Linked DNA regions of Drosophila melanogaster. The gene in region 1 interacts genetically with each later gene. Each region holds a gene or a part of one and is shown in the gene's direction. Other genes may lie near its edges. The genes, in order: sl and Pkc53E.

The links.
Region 2: of sl (region 1) and Pkc53E, changing one enhances a phenotype caused by changing the other (phenotypic enhancement), as found in Drosophila melanogaster (one study listed by BioGRID).

Annotation. Positions count from the first base shown.
Region 1 is NC_004354.4:16,347,032-16,353,405, forward strand, and holds the start of sl (small wing), read left to right. Parts: upstream 1-3,283; 5' UTR 3,284-3,554; coding exon 3,555-4,859; intron 4,860-5,217; coding exon 5,218-5,698; intron 5,699-5,763; coding exon 5,764-6,374.
Region 2 is NT_033778.4:16,921,801-16,928,174, forward strand, and holds the start of Pkc53E (protein C kinase 53E), read left to right. Parts: upstream 1-3,124; 5' UTR 3,125-3,237; intron 3,238-3,326; exon of another isoform or gene 3,327-3,945; intron 3,946-4,545; 5' UTR 4,546-4,807; coding exon 4,808-5,007; intron 5,008-6,324; coding exon 6,325-6,351; intron 6,352-6,374. UniProt on the Drosophila melanogaster protein: PKC is activated by diacylglycerol which in turn phosphorylates a range of cellular proteins. PKC also serves as the receptor for phorbol esters, a class of tumor promoters.

The DNA of each region.
Region 1 (6,374 bases):
CACGTATTCACTTTTTCTGGATTATGACCTGCAAAGTGAAGTAACGTGTGGTGAGGTTTACGACAAGTCGAACAAAGCTGCTCGCTTATACATTTTTTACCAAACGGATGCCTCAGACATCTTAGGCAAATCCCATTTTTTCTTACCCAGTCAGACCGTTCTGCTGGATTCATTATTTTAAATTTATGGCATTGAATTAAATAATGCCCTGGTAGTTTGCAATATGCACAATTGTCACTATAATTTTTATTCTTGTTATTATTAATCATTTTCTTTACAGGTTTTACTTCCTGTGAGAATGATGATATAGAATTGAGCCTTTGCTCTAAAAAGTCCATGACATCAGAAAGTGCCTGTATTTCTTTTGTCTTTTTAACATGGCTTTCATATAAATTGAGTGATTCTTTATTGAATTTCCGAAGAATTATGTGAGCGAAAATTGCATCCACATCTTCTGGTAATTGTGCCTTTAATTTTATAATATAAATTGACTCGTTAATCGTGTCAATAAATGTCTTTATTTGCTTATTGGATTCTAAATTTAAATTTGGCATATCCATAAGCCTATTCATATGATCTGAGAATATGTTTCTTTTATTCTCATATCGCTTGGTCAAAAACTCCCAAGTGGCTTCATAATTTTCTCCAGAGCCGAGCAGTAAATGAGTAACCACATTTCTGGCTTCTCCTTTTAATGCTGACTTTAGATAATTAAATTTGAGAGAAGGACTGAGATCCTCTCTCACATGTATGAGCTCTGTAAAGAGTTCATTAAAAAGATCCCATTCTTTGGAATCACCAAAGAAGGTGGGAATCTGTATTTTAGGCAGGGTTGGTAACTCCTCCGCCTTAACAACCGTCGACATTTCAGCTTTATTTATTGTGCCACTGAGTCGACTATTAATGGCTGTAAGAATATTTTGTTTGTCAAATTCAAGTTCGCTAATTTCTTCTTCGAATAGCGAACTCTCAAAATGACTATTCACCTGTTCAATCAGGTTATCTATTTTATGCCATAAAAATTCAATTTTATTTTTCCTTATTTTAAGGAAATCTGGACTACTGTCTATTAGTTTAGACGTATCTTCTAGATATACTCGAAATTGGCCAACATTATTACGAAATGCCTGCTCTACTTTTAAAGCGTTGTTTTGTGCTATACCCTCTTTTTCAGGGTGACCACGTATTTCAAGGTTTAATGTAGGGGGAGGGTTTGATTTAGGGACAGTGTTTGATTTAGGGAAAGTGTTTTCTACCGACTCGCCCTTAATTTTTTCATTTTTATTTTTAATTTTTTCTAACACCATCATTATTAAATCATACTGCTTCGCGTTAAAATATTCATGATCGACAACGCCGATCTTTAACAAATTGCTATGATTAGCAATGAAACATTTTTGAAGCTCATTTAATTTTAGAATTTCTACATCTGTTAATGTTGGTTTTACTTCCAACTTTCTAATTTCCAAAATAATTTCGGACTGCTTCTTAAGGAATTGAATAGTCTTTTCTGACATCATTTTGAAAATTTTTTGTAATTTCTTAATATATATAGTACGTGTATATGTATTTTATATGTATTTATATATATATGTGTGTTTGGATAAACAGAAAATTCTTGTTTTGACTTAGCTGATGTCGTTGTTGTTGCTGCTGCTGTTGCTGCTGTTGTTGCTGCTGTTGCTACTGCTGTTGCTGCTTCTGCTGCTGCTGTTGTTGCTGCTTCTGCTGCTGGTAGAGGCTCCTTTGAATTTGACTTCCTTCTCTTCTTTAAGGCTCCGTCGATGTTTAAAGATGATTTTTTTTTTTTTTGCACGTTTTATTATTTTTGTAGTCCAGTCAGATTTTTTGTTTTTTAGCCATTTATTTCGGCATTTATGCTCTTTTGGCATATACACTGCACTCTATTTATGAGCTGATTTAATGCTATTAGAGCATTTATAAGGCACTGTTTTCAGGCACTTTTTATTTAATTTATGCTCTTATGGCATATACACTGCACTCTATTTATGAGCTGATTTAATGCTATTAGAGCATTTATAAGGCACTTTTGTTATGCACTTTTTAATTTCACAATTGCTGATGTATGGCCTCAAGCACGCCTTACCACAATTTATAATGGTACACAAAGCAACCTTTAGCTATAGACTATAAGGTGCTTGTTTTAAAACATAAAAGATTCTTTTGTATCTTTTGCTTTTTATATTTATACTCTGTTCCTTACCTTTGGTAGGGGGAAACAAGAGTCACTTATTTTTGCTACCTTTAGCTGTAAGATGCTTAAAGGAGCTGGCCTTTCTCTGAGTTCCTTACCTTTGGTAGGGGGAAACTGCAGAGTCGATTAAAGGCTCGATTGACCAAATGTAAAATCCCAAATAAGAAGACTTTACTCGTTGAGTTTTTGTAAGAAACTGATTTTATTTGGAAATATCTTCGGTTTAAATAGGTGACATGAGAATCGCATCTTAAAGTAAATGGCCTACGCAGAGGCCTAAGTAAATAGTCCCCGCCTTATCGAGGTCCCACGCTCGGGCACATCTGCCTATCTTGAGCGGCGAGGACCTTATCTGTGGTCTCCCACTAAGGGACTATTTTAGGAGGCGGGGAACGATCTCAAGTGACTGACTCATGTAGTGTGCACTTAAATTACATGTTTTTGAGCAATGCACCCATGTCGCCTTAGATAACAAAATCCTAAATATAATTTATCGCTCTCGATTCATTTACATAAGATATGAACGGAGCCCAAAATTGTAAGTCTTTAAATATATTCGTGTTCATGTGTGAACAGGTAGAAAAGCAGACAACAACAATCAGTCAATTGCCTAAGCTTATTAATTTGTAAATCTATTTTAAATACAATATCAAGAAAACTTATGTTCGTTTGGTTTCAAGTTAGTTAGTTAGGAATTCTTCAGGTCGGGATTTATTTTCCTATCTACATAAGGTGAGTTATAATAAAAGCTTTAAGCTTCTTCGATTTGGTTGGTATGCTTAGTTTTGCTTTATTCAAAACTAGGAATACTATTTACATAACGAATTTTTGAATCGCACTTCAAAACAAAAGATAAAACTGGTCACACTTTAATATTTCAGTTATTCAAGTATGTAAACAATGGAGCAATTTTTAAGCTAAACTTTTAAATAAAATAGTCAATTTATTTTTTTATTTCCTCACAATTCGAAATACACCGCAGTGTGAACGCCCCATTTGCGTGGATTTAGTATTTTCTGTACCCACATTACGGCCTGGCAACACTGGCACTTTCCTCAACAGCTGGCTTATCTTATCTGCTTCTGTGGTATTTTTTGGGTACAATTCGGATATTGCATTGTTAATCTCGGTTTATTGAGTCCCAGTGGCCGTGATTTGTGCATCGACCAGTTGGAAGAGAGGGAGCAGTTGATCTGCGAATAGTTCCACGCGCTGGCACCCATAGTTTGTATGCATTGCACTTAGTCTGGCGATCGGTTGGCGAGGCGAGAAACAACCTGTGGCAGCCAGCGGATGAGAACTGGATTCGATAGGAATCGACACGTTTGGACCGGACAGGATGAGCTGCTTTAGTGCGATGAGTGCCCCGCTGCTGGGCGAGATGGAGCAGACCATTGGTATGCTGGAGCGCGGCACCATCGTGACCAAGTTGTATGGGAAACAGCGTCGTCCGGATCGCCGCCACCTGATGCTCATACGAGAGACACGACAGCTGCTCTGGGCAACGGTGGCCACACAAACGCCACGCACCGACTACGAGGGCGCCATACAGCTGCGGGAGATTCGCGAGATACGGGTGGGCAAGCACTCGAAGGAGTTTCGCCTGTTTGCCGACGACTGTCAGCGCTTCGAGTCCAGCAAGTGCTTTGTCATACTGCACGGCAATCACTTCAAGCTGAAGAGCTTCTCGGTGGTGGCTCTGTCGGAGATCGAGGCCGACAATTGGGTGCGGGGATTGCGTTACATGGTTAAGGACACACTGGGAGCACCCTATCCCTTGCAAATTGATCGCTGGCTGCGTCGCGAGTACTATCAAATCGAGAATGTTAACACGCATTCCGCCAAGGCCACGGAACAGTCGCCAGCCCAGGTGACCATTAAGGACTTTAAGCTCTTTTTGGCCGGAGTTAGCTGTAAGATGACCACCGGCAAGTTCATGGAGCACTTTACCGAGGATGTGCGGCGCAAGCACGATCTCAAGTTTGATGATTTCTCGCGGCTATATCAGAAGTTGCTGCTGCCCAACGGATTTGCCAGCGTCTTGTCCGGATCGGGAGTGGCCAACTTTCCCTATTCGGAGGACCAACAGGTGGTGCGACCGGCGGAGCTGAAGCAGTTCCTCGAGACGGAACAGCGCGATGTGAGCGCCAGTGAGATCAGTAGCGCAGCCATTGCCTCCTTCATTCGGGACTTTGTTCAGGACGTGGAACGTGATGTTCAGGAGCCGTATCTCACCTTCCCGGAGTTCGTCGACTTTCTGTTCTCCAAGCAAAACGACCTGTGGAACAGCAAGTACGACCAAGTGTTCATGGACATGAACCTGCCGTTGTCCTCCTACTGGATCGCATCGTCGCACAATACCTACCTGACGGGCGATCAGTTCTCCAGTGAATCCTCCTGCGAGGCCTACGCCCGCGCTCTTCGCATGGGCTGCCGTTGCATCGAGTTGGATTGTTGGAACGGGCCCGACAATCTGCCCTACATATTTCACGGCCACACCATTACCTCCAAGATCAAGTTCATGGATGTCATCAAGACGATTAAGGATCATGCGTTCACCAGTTCCGAGTATCCGGTAATATTGTCCATAGAGCAGAATTGCTCCCTGGAACAGCAGCGGAATATGGCGCAGGCCTTGATCGAGGTAAGTTGACCTAATCGAATCTATTAATAACAACAATTTATATATTCCATGCAAACAGGAGATCTGCATGTTTGCTTTTTGATTCATTCGCTGTAATAATGAGTTCTTTTATGGCTTTCTGTGAGATTGCCTAACTTAATATATAATTGAAATGGATTTTGTATATTTCGATAGTTGGGAATATGTATGACAATATGAAGAATTCGCTTTTTATTCGTTTGAATCTAATTATAAATGTAACAGAGCAATATTTTTAGTTACTTAGATTTCAAGACGATGGTAATTAGATATTTCTTGATGCTTTAAGTATTAATCGCATAAAAATCCATTGACTTATACCTTTTATGACCCATTACAGGTTTTCGGGGATATGCTGCTTACGCAACCTTGTGATCGAAACGAGCAGCACTTGCCATCGCCATACCAGTTGCGTCGCAAGATAATCCTGAAGCACAAGAAGTTGCCGCAGTTTGACGACATCGCGAATGGGATTTCTAGCACGGGTTCACTGGGCCATAGATCATCGTTGGGCGGAGCGGGCGGTGGAGCGCATGGGGAGAACGATGGCGAGAATGTGCGCAAGGTGTTCAAGGAGGGACTGCTCTACTTCAAGGATCCGGTCGATAAGTCCTGGAATCTTTATCAGTTCGTTCTGACCCATCAGGAGCTAATCTACTCCTCTGAGATCAACGAGTCACGCAACGGAAACTCCGAGGATGATGACTTTGGGCTTTCTTCGTCGTGCTCCCTAAACAGCAATATGCAGCAAAAGCAAAAGGATACCTCGGCCAACGATGAGCTGCACTTCGGCGAGAATTGGTTCCATGGGAAACTTGAAGGTGCGTTTATTGGTTGACATATATGCAGTATATTCCATTTGTTTCGTTAACAATTTGCATTTTAGGTGGCAGAAAGGAGGCTGATGATCTACTAAAGAAGTACAAACACTTTGGCGATGGTACATTTTTGGTTCGGGAATCGGCCACGTTTGTGGGAGACTATAGCCTTTCGTTCTGGCGACGTAATCGCCCGAATCATTGCCGCATCAAGTTAAAGCATGAAAATGGATCGATCAAGTACTATCTAGTGGAGAATTTTGTATTCGATTCACTGTACTCACTGATCGTTTATTATCGCAAGAATATGCTGCGTAGCTCAGAGTTTTCGATTATACTGAAAGAGCCAGTTCCGCAGCCGAAAAAGCACGAGGATCAGGAGTGGTTCCATCCGAACACCACCAAGGAGCAGGCCGAACAGGGTCTATACCGGCTGGAAATTGGTTCGTTTCTAGTGCGGCCATCGGTGCAGAGCATTAACGCTTTTGTCATTTCGTTCACAATCAATCGAAAGATCAAGCACTGTCGCATTATGCAGGAGGGACGCTTGTACGGCATCGATACAATGAACTTCGAGTCTCTGGTCTCGCTGATCAACTATTATACCCGAAATCCACTCTATCGCAATGTTAAGCTCAGCCATCCGGTGTCGCAGGAGCTGCTGCGTCAGGCGCTAGCG
Region 2 (6,374 bases), on another chromosome or scaffold:
AACGAGAAAAATAAAAACGAATGTTAACTCTCAGTGGCAGTTTAATTGTTTGGACAACAGCTGGAATTTTCAAATATAAAATCGCAACGGAATCAATTGGTTCTTCCGCATTTGAATAAAGTGATATAGATAAATTTAAATGAGTTTAGGTGCACAGAGCGTGAAATATGTAAATGCTGCAGAAACAACAAAACAAGCAATTATTTTAATTAATATTTTCAAATAATAATCTAATATCCCTATGCTTACCAGGCGATTAGAAATAACAGTTGACCCAATATTATAATTTATTAATAAAAACAACAATAGCGTAATGAAATTTCAATTAAAATTCGTATACATTTGCATAACTTAAAATAAACAAATCGTTAATCACCATCAGTGGTGAAATGTGCGATAAGATTGGCTTTGTTACTTTGATTGTTGGCTTGATTGCCACAATTTGCGTCAATTATGCGTGAGTGACACGCCCATTGTGCCACTGCCCACGCTTTTAATTGAAATTTGTCTGTTTTTTGTCGTTTATGCCGCTTTTCCGTGTTTTCTGTGCGTGTGAAAAATGCTCAGTTTGTGCTGATAAAGAAAATTAAAGCTGCACAAAGCTCTCGAAAGCGGGAAAAGCCGCCCAACACAGGGAATAACAAAAGCGACGTCACAACATCGCCCAGAGGGCAAAAAATAAATAAATAAATAAAAATAAATCAGAAGAAAAAGGAGAGCAGCTGAGTGAAAGTATGGCATTCTGATTGGAAATTACCATTCAAACAACTCGAATCGATTTTAAGATGATTTCGCAGGTTTAAGTTTACAGCAGCCACCGCACATGAGACTCTTACAAAGTGTTCGGATGTGGGCTAAGTGCACTTGAAAAGATTTCCAGAAATTAGCAGAGTGTCGATATAATTTATTGACATCCAACTATGCTGGAATCGCACTCACAATTACCCTGTGATATTTTTTCATTTGTTGTAAGCAAAGTGTTTCCTATTCATATATACTTATAGATACTAAGTTTTGTCAGCATTTCCGGTCCGGCATAAGTTAAGCAAAGTGTCGAAAAGGTTTTTGAGTCAGGAATGAGATAAGCGCCGACTGTTGAATACCCTGTATAATACTAACCATTCCAACAAGCTTGTTTACAACTATCATACCCGAAATGCCGTATGTTTTTTAATATGGTTTCCCGCCGAGAAAACATTTCAATGGATTTTAATTGCCCCGCTTGCAATTGAAATTTATGACCCAGTGTTTTGTGATATCCAAAGCGAATTATTCATAAATTACTATCTACTTGGCCGAGTGCCGCCAACACTATCAGCTATAGTATCTACCGTATAATATATTTGGTGTTCTATCTATGCAACCGAATTCCGATGGCTTTCAACATGGCCATTTACATGTCGACTGGCAAATGGTTTTCGCAGCGATTGGCAATGTGATTTTACCACAATATTTTATCTCCAATTTTGGGCTAGCGTATATGTGCAGTGGTTATTTATTTGCCCGCCCAAATATTTGGTCTTTCTATTAGAGCCAAACCGCTCGACAAACCGAAAAGCGAAAATGTTGTGATAGTTTATGGTCTGTCCGTGTCTCTAAAGCAGATAAATAATTATTGCATTAGCTGCGCTCTCGATTCGATTCGTTTCGTAGCAACGCCCCAGCTTGATTTTAAGTCGGGCCGCGAAACGTGACACTTGGCTATCAGATGTGCCACCAAAGCCAAGTGGCTAAAGGCAGGGGCATGTGGCACGTAACAGGTAGTGGGTAACAGTTAACCGCGGCGAAGGTTGCGGTTAGGCAGATGTAAGCCAAGATCCGCCCCAGCGCGAATTAATATCCACTCCTCCAGTTTGGGGCATATATAAACGGGCTTGGGAGCATTGGAACAATAAGGTATTAAGTGGTAAATTAGGTCGATTAGTTACGAAGTGAGAAGTGACGAGATAAGAAACGAATCATCATGCTCAACCTTTTTTTTAGATTCCTACATCGAATTCCAAAGTTATTTTATGATAACGTCGATTTAGCAACATTAATAAAATAAAATATATAACCTTATAGCTTGATACCCGAACAAAATTTTAAAATTCCACATATAATTAAATAGTCCATAATTCCAGAGAATTTTCCATGTTTTTGATACAATAATTTTTTGCATTGAGTTGCCTTTTTTTAGGGCTTGGATAGTTATCTACTTTTTATGAGGCGCAACAGTATTTATAAGGCGCGTCAATCAGTGTTTCGCAATAATGTGATAAATGCGTCAAGGCAATTAAAGCTTAAAATGAAATTATTATGGTAAATGGAATATTTGTTATCTTATCAGAGTTTGCTTTAGACATATAAGCTTATGCAAAATATACATTGCTATTTTCATAAAGGCCTTTGTTTCATTTCATTAACATCTTGAGTTTTATATTAATCATTGAAGTCTTGAGATTCAATTTTATTCGCTAAAGTTGTTAGAAAGTTGAGAGCCATTCAAATTGATAAGTATATACTAATTTCCCTATCTCACAATCCGATCAGCCACGAGGGGGATTCCATTTATAGATCAAATCACTTCTTGTTCAACGCAATCGAATGGCTAGAGCAGCCTTTGCAAACTCGGCCCAAAACCGGCTGGATCGTGGCCATTTAACAAGTTTCGTTCAGTCGGATCAATTAGCGGCCAAGAGCGTCATCGGTGCTCCAGGGTCTGACGTTTCGGATCGCTATGGGTTTACTTATGTTAATCAGTTGGCCGCAATGCAAATGAGCGTTAACAGCGCTGTTGCTTTTGGCTAACAGTGCGCCCAAAAGCTCGCTACGAATATGGCGCTCCAGAAAAGACGGCCAGTGCCAGTTGGTCAGAACGTGTTTGTGTCTCGAGCGAAGCGCACGTGCCGGGAAAGCGATACAAATTCGCAGTGCCAGGAGGCCGAAGTGAAAAGCTGGGGATAAACTGCCCCTACATTTTCCAGCAATAACAACAACAACAGATGTGTGTGAGTGTTAGTGCGTGCGAGAAGAAATCTTGTGTAACCCGGAGAGCGAGAAAGAGGGAGACGGCAACAGATGGGAAATTCACCACAGTCCATGGACATGGATTTTCCGCTCGTGTGAAAATGCTCGCACGCTCACTACGTTTCGGTTCGCCAGCAAAGGCAGTTGCTCCTCGCATTTTCGCAGCCCGTGCGTGTAGTGTAGCCGTAGTCTAAATAAGACCAATCACACTAAGTCATCGGTCAAAAAGTAAACAAAATAAACGCCACATGTCGTTATGAACAAGTGCTTGAAACTAGACAAGTTACTACCAAATTCAAAGCACTATTAACCACAAGGAATTCTAATAATACCCCTCGGGATAATAACGAAAAAGCAGTCATAGCCATTATGGCCATTAAGCACAAAAAAGTGACATGAAAACGTGAAGGGAAATGTGTTCCACAAATGGAGAAGAAGAAAAAAACGCGCTAACGCAAGTCGTTCGGAAATGATAGTAACTGTTGCATTTCGCTCACAAAGACTATGATAGTTTTGCTAACACAGAGTTTCAGTCGAGTCCTGAATTGTCCTTTTTGTGGTTTAGTTTGCGGTTGCAATCAATGCTGAATATGTTGTATGCAGGGTAGCAATAGAGTTGTACTTACTGCTGATTAGATAATTAAATGTACATCTTGGATAGATGAAAATGTTCTTGCTTTAAAATGTTTCAATTAGTTCATTGATTGAGTTGAACCAATTATTTTGCAATTAGCCAACATTTCTTGATATAATTAAAGCTTAAATTGGGACTAAATTGACTAAGGATTTATTTATTTTAAAATTCTCAGAGTGTTATCATGTTATAGCTGAATTAAATCAAATTATTTGAGTGTTTGCATTAGTAAGCCACCGAGCCGACTGCTTATGTTTACAGGGTATGGCACCATCGTATCCCAAGTGGGCCCACCTGCACAGGTGAGAGCAGTGGCCAGCAAGAACGTGTCTGTTAGCGAAGCACACAAAAATTGGCGTTGCAAATATTTCAATAAAGCTGAAAAACAAAAGCAAAACATTGAAATAAAAATTATTTCGTTTGCACATCGCTTTTTTATTTGCACGCGCGCTCAATCTTCGTCACATTTTTTTCGATTTTTCATTTTTTCTGCGCCTCTCATTCAACAAGCTGGGAAAAATTATATTATTTGCCAGTTATTATTTGGCCCATGTTCCGCCGAAAAGGTGCCCCATTCACCTAACCACCCAAAACCCCTTCGGAAATTCTTTTGTATATTCAACCGTTGAGGCATTAAAATTAATGCTAATTATGAGCTTGTTTGTCGCGGATGACATGTGCTTGAGTTTTTGTTTAATTGCTGCACTTGTTATGAGAAAAATCAATTGAAATCGATGCGCCGGACGCGAGTGAAAAATAATTAAGCAAACGGCGAACGTGCGGCCAGTGATTAATAAAATTATGCAAATCGCCTTTTGGGCAAATTAAAGCGAAATTCTCAAGTCCAGTTTGGTTTTATTATTATTGCTCTCTCTCTCTTTCTCGCCCATTATTAACGTTAGATGGCATTTAATGTCTAATAAAAACACGCCGACAACAAAAACTGAAAATCAATAAACACAAAGCCAGCAAAAAGTACGTAACCAGCAACAACAACACCAACAACAACACCCAAATGCGGCAACAACAAGTGAGCAAGTTAAAGAACCTTTGCGATTTGTAAACGCTGCGAAATACCCGTTGTGCAGAAAAAAAAAACACCAACAAATAAACAAAAAAGCAACAAGAAGAAAAAAAAAGCAAAAAAAAGAACATTTAGCAACAATGTCGGAGGGCAGCGATAACAACGGGGATCCCCAGCAGCAGGGGGCGGAGGGGGAGGCGGTGGGCGAGAACAAAATGAAGTCCCGCCTCCGCAAAGGAGCCCTCAAGAAGAAGAACGTCTTCAATGTCAAGGATCACTGCTTCATCGCCCGGTTCTTCAAGCAGCCCACGTTCTGCTCCCACTGCAAGGACTTTATCTGGTGAGTGATTCGCATCCTTAAAGTGGCATCTTTATGCATCGTTCTTATAGAACCAACTGCATACACCCGGGGAAAAACTAGCTTACCTCTTGACTAACTAAATGGATTTATTACCAATATATCGGGATCGTGCAAGTTTTAAATGACCAAAGGGAATATTGATCCTATCATGACCTGACCTAATCTACTTGAGAAAAAGTACCAAGCTGGCTTAAGATATACATATATTTCGTTTGGGTAGGTCATAGTAAGGTCACTATTCGAATGAACCAATGATTTTCTCCGGGTGTACAAGCACATATAGAGAGAGAGCTATCCCCATATGCGAATACGCCCCACTTCCCTCCACGGCACTTGTGGGTCTACCAAGCATGGCCAGCAATGCGTCCACATAACATCAGTGGCGGGAATCGATAAATGTATATTGACAAGGCGAACGAGCCGTAGAAACAATGGGGGAATAAGGCAAATAATAGGAACACACAGCAGCAAATACCAAAAACACACAAGGAGGCAGCTCACAAAGCTCAATTTTCAAAAATGAATAACGTACTGAGACTTATTTAATCTGAGATTTTAGTTGTTTAGCACACATAGGCGTACAAATATGAAAGCAATCTGGCTTAAATGCAAGAAAAATAGTACTGTGTGTATGGTTTAACATTCATCATAAAATATTTAAAATGTTTACGTTTTTTAATTAAATGAAATACAGAAAGTCTTATTTGAGCATTTTAGCAAAATGTAAAAATACCTCCGAGAAAATCATTTGCAAAAAGTATGTAAACAAATAGAAGCTAATTGCTAGAAAATCAAAGAGGAACAGACTCATTTCGATTTCTATGAAAAGTCTATAAAAATGTTTTAAATAGGAAATTAAATAAAAATAACTAGAGTCTAACCTTAATATATGCAAAAAGCTTTAAACACACAAGTCAAGTTATTACGCTGAGATACTTTTTGGCCCAAAATTTCAGCCAAAATCTACAGAAGGCCAAGAAAAACAAAAGCCAACCTGTGTAATATTTAATGCAGGTGAGGCTGCCGAAATCGGTTTTAATCCATTGTTGGTCCCAAGGCAAACACAAACAGAAGGGCAAGGTAGAAATGAACTGAAATTGCGTGGAGCCAGCCTGTTTACTCCTGGAAGTCCTGGCAGCTGGGTCCCAGTAGTCACTTCCTGGCCTGCCAGCCTCGCCACGGCTTATAAATCAATTTCATGAGCATTAAATTCACCTCCGAAACATCAGATTCGTGCTTCTGCGCTGAATTCCTATTTGTTGACATGAGTTTTGAACTGAAATTTGGTTTTTACAGCGGCTATCAGTCGGGATATGCATGGATGTAGGTATTCCAAAGGATATTTA